Saccharomyces cerevisiae S288C: one gene and its partner. The protein of the gene in region 2 binds, or shares a complex with, the protein of the main gene of each other region. Each region holds a gene or a part of one and is shown on either strand. Other genes may lie near its edges. A codon is read from its position in the direction of its gene.

Region 1 (3,017 bases), on a different chromosome or scaffold from region 2:
TGCTTATTATACCGTTGTAGATAGTTGACAGAAGTGACTTCGCCCAGAGGAACATTAATGTGTCTTGTGTAACTGACATCATGGTCGGACTTTTTCTGTTCTGGGTGAGTTATAGGTCTTAGGGTTTCTAGCCATTGTTCATTGTCAGCCGCTCTTGGTGCATTATCAGGAACTTTCGTCGAATATACTCTTGGTAAAAATCTTTCAAGCCGTAATTCTCTTTTGAAAACGCTAGACCAAGCTATCGACATATCTAGATGCTCTGGCCGAGGACTGATTCTTGATGATATTCTCAGTACGTACACATCCTATTAAACGCTAAATAAACCAGCATGTTTTTTCCTTCAGTACTATTTCGGGGAAGTGAAAATAATAGATAGAACAAATAAAATATTAAAAAGCTCTTTAAAAAATAATACAATTTTTCTCTTTCTTCCCTCCCACTCAACAAGTATGTATAACTCTATCTAACTTGTGCAGGCTGGTTAAATAAAATGTGCTTATTCTAAAACTATGTCACCTTCTTTATCTACAGGATAGCTTTCCGATGGAGCATTTATTTCAGACTTTAATGAATCTATCTTCTGGATCATTTTTTTCATAGAATGTGCATCATCACCGAACATAAGCATTTCTATATCGTCCCATTCTTTTCGCCAATGGTTTAGTTCCTTTGTCAAAGTAGAGAGTCTTTCCTTTAAGGAATACTTATTCTCTAAACCAAATTTGGCACGTGCCATTTTGATCTGATCTAGATAGTTCTTGATTTGAGCGTCTACACCACGTATATCAGTATCAGGCGCACAGTACTGCTCGAGAATACCCTGAAGTTTCTCAGATGGAACCCATTTATCCATTTCATACACTGTCACTGATGGATCAGACACTTCCACCTGCTTTGCTAAATCAACAGAAAGTCGCTTCAGTAAATTTATGTACCTTAAAGTATCCCTATTCAAATGTTCGAAAGTAGAATAGTACTCGCTAATACTCTTAGGATTCTGTACTCCCGCTGCAACGTCCCTTCCAGTTTTTGTATCCTCCAAAAGCTGTGCTTCTCTTGTTTGATATTTATCGTATCGCAGGCGGATGGAACTATTTATCAGCTCCCTGTGTAAATCAGGCAACTTCTTGAGGGATTCAGTAAGCAGATCATCAGATGATCTAGGGTCTGCCAATACTGATAATATATCTAAAATATTTAATAAGTGGGTTTGGCTTTCCTGCAAACTTTGTTCCTCCTCGCAGAGAGATTCAAAATACGTACGACCTTCTTCCTTTGTCATGCTATGAACTTGATAACTTGAGCAGTGTAAACCTGATAAACTAGTCGCTGTTGTTTCTTACTGTAAGATACTGCACTTCTGCAGCTTCTTAAGTATTCTACTTACCAAGTTTCTATTATTTTTCAATGCGCGTACATAAAAAGCACTTCGGGTAAAACAAACACTTCATAATAGCAGACCAAGTACTGCGGTACTCACATCAAATTAAGAGGAAGAAGGGAGTATTAGCGAGCGGAAAACTGAAATCTGGATATATACTGATCAGAATCAGATTGTGAAGCATTTAGAACCATGAATGACGACAGCCAGGATAAAATAATACATGATATACGTATTCAGCTACGAAAGGCTGCCACAGAATTATCACGATGGAAGCTATACGGCTCCTCAAAGTGGGCAGCAGAGGCGCTAGCAGGTCTTGCAGAAGCTATTGATGTTGATCAAACACACTCTTTAGCCGATGAATCGCCACTAAGAAATAAACAAGGTGTACCGAAACAGATGTTTGAAATACCACAAAACGGGTTTGGCCTATCAGAGACTGAGTATGACCTGTACCTCCTTGGTTCTACGTTGTTTGATGCTAAAGAGTTTGATCGATGCGTTTTTTTTCTAAAAGATGTCACTAATCCATACCTTAAGTTCTTAAAATTATACAGTAAATTTCTATCGTGGGATAAGAAAAGCCAGGAAAGTATGGAAAATATCTTAACTACAGGGAAGTTTACGGACGAAATGTACAGAGCTAACAAAGATGGGGATGGTAGTGGGAATGAGGATATAAATCAAAGTGGGCACCAACGCGCCAATTTAAAAATGGTCAGCAATGAGCATGAGTCACAATCGAACATATCATCTATTTTGAAGGAAATTAACACATTTCTGGAGTCTTATGAAATAAAGATAGACGATGATGAGGCCGATTTAGGGTTAGCACTGTTGTATTATTTACGAGGGGTCATCTTAAAGCAAGAGAAGAATATTTCTAAGGCAATGTCGTCATTCTTGAAATCTCTGAGTTGCTACTCCTTTAACTGGTCCTGCTGGCTGGAGTTAATGGACTGTTTACAAAAGGTTGACGATGCATTGCTTTTAAATAATTATCTATATCAAAATTTCCAATTCAAATTTTCTGAAAATCTTGGTAGTCAACGAACGATAGAATTTAATATAATGATCAAATTTTTCAAGCTAAAAGTGTTTGAGGAGCTTAATGGCCAGTTAGAGGACTACTTTGAAGATTTAGAGTTTTTGTTACAAGTTTTCCCCAATTTCACTTTTTTAAAGGCTTACAATGCTACTATTAGTTACAACAATTTGGATTATGTTACCGCAGAAAGCCGATTTGATGACATCGTTAAACAAGATCCGTACCGTCTCAACGATTTGGAAACCTACTCCAATATTCTATACGTCATGCAGAAGAATTCAAAATTAGCCTATTTGGCGCAATTCGTCTCCCAAATAGATAGATTTAGACCGGAAACATGTTGTATCATAGCGAACTATTACAGTGCCCGACAGGAACATGAAAAATCTATCATGTATTTCCGTCGAGCACTAACTTTGGATAAAAAAACAACAAACGCATGGACTTTGATGGGTCACGAATTTGTTGAACTAAGCAATTCACATGCCGCAATAGAATGCTATCGTCGGGCCGTAGATATATGCCCTCGAGACTTCAAAGCATGGTTTGGTTTGGGCCAGGCTTATGCTCTCCTGGACATG
Region 2 (5,736 bases):
AGCTCACTTTTATTAATGGCAAGTTTGCCGAATTTATAAGACATCTGGTTGATAAATAAAATCGCAATTATGAATCAGGACGCTTCAAATGCCTTCTTCCGCTGGAAATAGTAGTTTTGTGATGCTGTTCAGCTCATCTCTTAAAAATTTTTGGCGTTACATTAAGAAAGGCGCGTCTTAATTTTCTTCACTTAATGTATAAACAAATACTTTACTTTTTAACCACGACATTATTCAAAGAGGAGAGTAACTTTAACGTTAATCAAATTGCTGTACTAAACTATTTATTTGGCCAGACATTGAAATACTGGTATTGCCTCGATATTTTTATTTGTAATATTATCCATTGAGCGATTAGCTTACTTGTATCAATCAATTTTACATGCCAAAGTGGATAAGATCAACATTGAATCATATTATACCAAGAAGGCCATTTATCTGTAGTTTCAACAGTTTTCTTTTACTCAAAAACGTATCGCACGCCAAACTATCGTTTTCTATGAGTAGTCGTGGTTTCAGGTCTAATAACTTTATTCAAGCACAATTGAAGCATCCTTCCATACTTTCAAAAGAAGACCTAGATTTGCTCTCTGATTCGGATGATTGGGAAGAACCTGATTGCATACAGTTAGAAACTGAGAAGCAAGAAAAGAAAATTATCACTGACATACATAAAGAAGACCCGGTGGACAAAAAGCCTATGAGGGATAAAAATGTCATGAATTTTATCAATAAAGACAGTCCTTTATCCTGGAACGATATGTTTAAACCCAGTATAATACAACCACCGCAGTTAATTTCTGAAAACTCATTTGACCAGAGCAGTCAAAAAAAATCGAGATCGACAGGATTCAAGAATCCATTAAGACCAGCGTTGAAAAAGGAAAGTTCTTTTGATGAACTTCAAAATAATTCTATATCTCAAGAGAGAAGTTTGGAAATGATAAATGAAAACGAAAAGAAGAAAATGCAATTTGGAGAAAAGATTGCTGTTTTGACGCAAAGACCTAGCTTCACTGAATTGCAGAATGACCAAGATGACAGTAACTTGAATCCCCATAATGGTGTGAAAGTCAAGATACCGATTTGCTTAAGCAAAGAACAAGAAAGTATCATCAAGTTGGCAGAAAATGGCCACAACATTTTTTATACAGGGAGTGCCGGTACCGGTAAATCCATTCTTTTACGTGAAATGATAAAAGTTTTAAAAGGCATATATGGTAGGGAGAATGTTGCAGTCACTGCTTCCACGGGTTTAGCTGCTTGTAATATCGGTGGTATAACCATACACTCGTTCGCTGGTATAGGATTAGGAAAAGGTGATGCGGATAAACTCTATAAAAAAGTTCGTAGGTCTCGAAAGCACCTAAGGCGCTGGGAAAATATTGGTGCTTTGGTTGTCGATGAAATATCAATGTTAGACGCAGAACTGCTTGATAAACTCGATTTCATAGCTAGAAAAATACGGAAAAATCATCAACCCTTCGGTGGAATTCAACTCATCTTCTGTGGCGATTTTTTCCAGTTACCGCCAGTATCAAAAGATCCTAATAGACCAACTAAGTTTGCTTTCGAATCCAAGGCTTGGAAAGAAGGTGTAAAGATGACGATTATGCTACAAAAGGTTTTTAGACAGCGAGGCGATGTTAAGTTCATTGACATGTTGAATCGGATGAGACTAGGCAATATTGATGATGAAACAGAAAGAGAGTTCAAGAAGCTTTCTAGACCATTGCCAGACGATGAAATTATTCCCGCGGAACTTTATAGTACCAGAATGGAAGTAGAAAGGGCCAATAATTCAAGGCTAAGTAAATTGCCAGGCCAGGTGCATATTTTTAATGCAATCGATGGCGGTGCTTTGGAAGACGAAGAGTTAAAGGAAAGGCTGTTACAAAATTTTTTAGCTCCAAAGGAATTACATTTGAAAGTTGGCGCTCAGGTTATGATGGTAAAAAATCTAGACGCAACATTAGTTAATGGATCCCTTGGTAAAGTCATCGAATTCATGGATCCAGAAACATATTTTTGCTATGAGGCGCTAACAAACGATCCATCTATGCCTCCAGAAAAACTCGAGACTTGGGCAGAAAACCCTTCAAAACTAAAAGCTGCAATGGAGAGGGAGCAAAGTGATGGGGAAGAAAGTGCGGTAGCTAGTCGCAAATCTTCAGTGAAGGAGGGATTTGCTAAGAGTGATATAGGTGAGCCGGTCTCTCCCCTAGATTCCTCAGTTTTTGACTTCATGAAGAGAGTCAAGACAGATGACGAAGTTGTGCTGGAAAATATAAAACGCAAGGAACAACTGATGCAGACCATACATCAAAACTCTGCAGGAAAACGAAGGTTACCTCTCGTGAGATTCAAAGCTTCTGATATGAGTACGAGGATGGTGCTTGTCGAGCCGGAGGATTGGGCGATAGAAGACGAAAATGAAAAGCCACTGGTATCAAGGGTTCAATTACCGCTAATGCTTGCCTGGTCACTATCCATTCACAAATCTCAGGGTCAGACACTTCCAAAAGTTAAAGTGGATTTACGTAGAGTATTCGAAAAGGGTCAGGCGTACGTTGCCCTTTCTAGAGCTGTTTCAAGAGAAGGACTACAGGTGTTAAATTTTGACAGAACTAGGATCAAAGCACATCAAAAGGTAATTGATTTTTATCTTACTTTATCTTCAGCCGAAAGTGCCTATAAGCAACTTGAGGCAGATGAGCAAGTGAAAAAAAGGAAGTTAGACTACGCACCAGGCCCTAAATATAAGGCTAAATCCAAGTCAAAGTCAAATTCTCCAGCACCCATATCAGCGACCACACAATCTAATAATGGTATCGCAGCGATGTTGCAAAGACACAGTAGGAAGAGATTTCAGTTGAAAAAAGAGTCTAATAGTAATCAAGTTCATTCATTGGTTTCCGACGAACCTCGTGGTCAGGATACCGAAGACCACATCTTAGAATAAGTACATATTAATACACATAGTTATATAGAATACAAACTGCTATAATAATCAAGGCCGAGATACATAGTTCCGCGGTTTTATCTGTATTTATTTTGATATTGGTTCTTTGACACCTTTTTATCTTTCTTTCTTGCGCTTTGTTCATTCTATTATTTTGGTGAACCTCCTTCGATAGAAAAAAGTGAAACATTATCTAAATTAAAGTAAAATACAACAACTGGCTGTAAAAAAGGAATCAAAGAACTAAAGCCAAAGGAGACTAACTCACAATGCCTCTGTCACAAAAACAAATAGACCAAGTTAGAACCAAAGTGCACTACAGTGAAGTAGATACTCCATTCAATAAATATTTAGACATCTTAGGAAAAGTAACCAAGCTGACAGGAAGCATTATAAATGGCACATTATCCAATGATGATAGCAAGATTGAAAAACTTACTGAGCAAAATATCTCCCAACTAAAAGAAAGTGCTCATCTTCGATTTTTGGATCTGCAGTCATCAATTGACACAAAGAAAGTAGCAGACGAAAATTGGGAAACATGCCAACAGGAGACATTGGCCAAGCTGGAAAATCTCAAAGATAAATTGCCTGATATAAAGAGCATCCATAGCAAGTTGCTTTTACGTATTGGAAAACTACAAGGTCTTTACGATTCTGTCCAAGTAATTAACAGAGAGGTGGAAGGCTTGTCAGAAGGCCGTACCAGCCTTGTGGTGACACGTGCGGAATGGGAGAAAGAACTTGGCACTGATCTGGTCAAGTTTTTAATTGAAAAGAATTATCTCAAACTAGTTGATCCGGGCCTGAAAAAGGATAGTTCAGAGGAGAGATATCGTATTTATGACGATTTCTCTAAGGGCCCAAAAGAGTTAGAAAGTATCAACGCCTCAATGAAATCGGATATAGAAAACGTAAGGCAGGAGGTATCGTCTTACAAAGAGAAGTGGCTAAGAGATGCAGAAATATTTGGCAAGATCACATCAATATTCAAAGAAGAACTTCTGAAGAGAGATGGCCTGCTCAATGAGGCAGAAGGAGATAACATTGATGAAGATTATGAATCGGATGAAGATGAGGAAAGAAAAGAGAGGTTTAAAAGGCAGAGATCAATGGTGGAAGTGAATACTATAGAAAATGTGGACGAAAAAGAGGAAAGCGATCATGAATATGACGATCAGGAGGATGAAGAAAATGAAGAGGAAGATGATATGGAAGTAGACGTTGAGGATATAAAAGAGGATAATGAAGTTGATGGGGAAAGCAGTCAACAAGAAGATAATAGTCGCCAGGGTAATAATGAGGAAACAGACAAAGAAACTGGAGTGATAGAAGAGCCAGATGCGGTTAATGACGCAGAGGAGGCAGATAGCGATCACTCAAGCAGGAAACTTGGAGGCACTACAAGCGATTTTAGTGCGTCTTCCTCTGTTGAAGAAGTAAAATGACCACGTATAATGCATAGCTCTTACTAAATAGAAAAGGCATATAGACACATAGGCAAGTTATTACAGTTCAATAGAAACCGAAATCGGTAACGTAAAAAATAACAACCATAAAAAGACAGTATTGGACAAAAGAGCAAGTTCTGTATGGTGCGTCACCTTCTTTTTTTTAGTAATAATTAATTATATTAATAATAAAGAGAAAACATATTAATAAATTGTGTACATGTCAAATCTTATAATTTATATTTATTTTGTTTACACAGTTTCCAAGACTTCATCCTTGAAACCAGAAACCTTCTTACCCTTTTCTTCACCGGAACCTTCACCATGCAAAGCCATCAAAGCACCAACGTCGAACTTTGGTTGTTTCAATAACTTAACCTTTCTAACGTGGATGTTTTGTAGTGGGAAGATGTCCTTGGTAGCATTTTCGATTTCCTTGTTGATAACTTCTGGAATCAATTTGGAGGTCAATTGAGCCAAAGTAGAGTTTTGAACTTCTCTGGTCAAGATTTCAGAAATAACTTTTCTGATAGCTCTGATGTGGGAAGATTGAGCGTAAGAGTGTCTCTTAACTTGGTTAGCTTGCTTTCTGGTGAAGGCAATAGCAAAGATTCTCAAAACGTAATCATCGGAAGTCTTAACGGTAACATTAGCTTCGATCAAAGTTTGCCATTTTCTGACCATTGATCTCAATTTGTCGGTAGTGAAGTCCATACCGTGGAAGTTGGTCAACAAGTTCTTACCTTGAACTTCATCGACTCTCAACTTGACCTTTCTGAAAGAATGGTCTTCAGAACCTTGCAAGTCAGCCAAACAAACTTCGACAACTCTACCCTTCAAAGCATCGGAAGCATTCTTCAAACCAGTGGACTTGTTAACTAAAGTCTTACCAACATTTCTGTTTTCAAAAGTGGATGGGGCTTTAATATCGAACCATTCCTTTCTGGTAAATGGGTCAACGACCTTCTTCTTCAAACCCTTCTTACCTCTGGATAGTCTCTTATTCTTACCAACAGCCATGATTAGTCTAGATCGGTTTTTTGCTTGGTTTCCTCAAAGGCGAATACAACTAACTAAGTTCAAATCTGCTACCACTCACATATATCAAAATACCACTACTAACTATACATTGGAACTCACTAATGAGGACACTGGTATTGTGAAACTGTGTTACGTTCAGCGTGGCAATCATCACTCCGGCCTGGAGAGTCCAGCCGGCCGAGGCGGCTTCACACCGGCACCACCTTGATTCCACACTGGATCTACCGCGTCCTTCCCATTTACTCAGTAGCACTTCTACCGGACATCCATGCTGCTCTTTTT

Evidence for each region. Proteins that work in one complex are often made in the same cells at the same time.
Region 1: the proteins of MFT1 (region 2) and THP2 are in contact, whole or in part, in a cryo-EM structure (PDB 7V2W), measured with the Saccharomyces cerevisiae proteins. Residues at the interface, in NP_013649.1 of Saccharomyces cerevisiae: His16 (codon at 3,277), Tyr17 (codon at 3,280), Ser18 (codon at 3,283), Glu19 (codon at 3,286), Asp21 (codon at 3,292), Phe24 (codon at 3,301), Asn25 (codon at 3,304), Tyr27 (codon at 3,310), Leu28 (codon at 3,313), Ile30 (codon at 3,319), Leu31 (codon at 3,322), Val34 (codon at 3,331), Thr35 (codon at 3,334), Leu37 (codon at 3,340), Thr38 (codon at 3,343), Gly39 (codon at 3,346), Ile41 (codon at 3,352), Ile42 (codon at 3,355), Leu56 (codon at 3,397), Thr57 (codon at 3,400), Glu58 (codon at 3,403), Ile61 (codon at 3,412), Leu64 (codon at 3,421), Lys65 (codon at 3,424), Ala68 (codon at 3,433), His69 (codon at 3,436), Phe72 (codon at 3,445), Leu75 (codon at 3,454), Gln76 (codon at 3,457), Ile79 (codon at 3,466); in NP_012037.1 of Saccharomyces cerevisiae: Tyr9 (codon at 1,262), Phe10 (codon at 1,259), Leu13 (codon at 1,250), Cys14 (codon at 1,247), Glu16 (codon at 1,241), Glu17 (codon at 1,238), Leu20 (codon at 1,229), Gln21 (codon at 1,226), Ser23 (codon at 1,220), Gln24 (codon at 1,217), Leu27 (codon at 1,208), Leu28 (codon at 1,205), Ile30 (codon at 1,199), Leu31 (codon at 1,196), Leu34 (codon at 1,187), Ser35 (codon at 1,184), Leu37 (codon at 1,178), Ala38 (codon at 1,175), Asp39 (codon at 1,172), Leu54 (codon at 1,127), Pro55 (codon at 1,124), His58 (codon at 1,115), Leu61 (codon at 1,106), Ser65 (codon at 1,094), Leu68 (codon at 1,085), Arg69 (codon at 1,082), Lys72 (codon at 1,073), Arg76 (codon at 1,061), Glu77 (codon at 1,058), Leu80 (codon at 1,049).

Annotation. Positions count from the first base shown.
Region 1 is NC_001140.6:437,611-440,627, reverse strand, and holds THP2 (Thp2p), read right to left. Parts: upstream 1,287-3,017; coding exon 501-1,286; downstream 1-500. Other genes in the region: putative GTPase MTG2, read right to left, coding at 1-251; anaphase promoting complex subunit CDC23, read left to right, coding at 1,578-3,017. UniProt on the Saccharomyces cerevisiae protein: Component the THO subcomplex of the TREX complex, which operates in coupling transcription elongation to mRNA export. The THO complex is recruited to transcribed genes and moves along the gene with the elongating polymerase during transcription.
Region 2 is NC_001145.3:146,179-151,914, reverse strand, and holds MFT1 (Mft1p), read left to right. Parts: upstream 1-3,231; coding exon 3,232-4,410; downstream 4,411-5,736. Other genes in the region: 8-oxoguanine glycosylase OGG1, read right to left, coding at 1-44; DNA helicase PIF1, read left to right, coding at 383-2,962; 40S ribosomal protein eS1 RPS1B, read right to left, coding at 4,666-5,433. UniProt on the Saccharomyces cerevisiae protein: Component the THO subcomplex of the TREX complex, which operates in coupling transcription elongation to mRNA export. The THO complex is recruited to transcribed genes and moves along the gene with the elongating polymerase during transcription.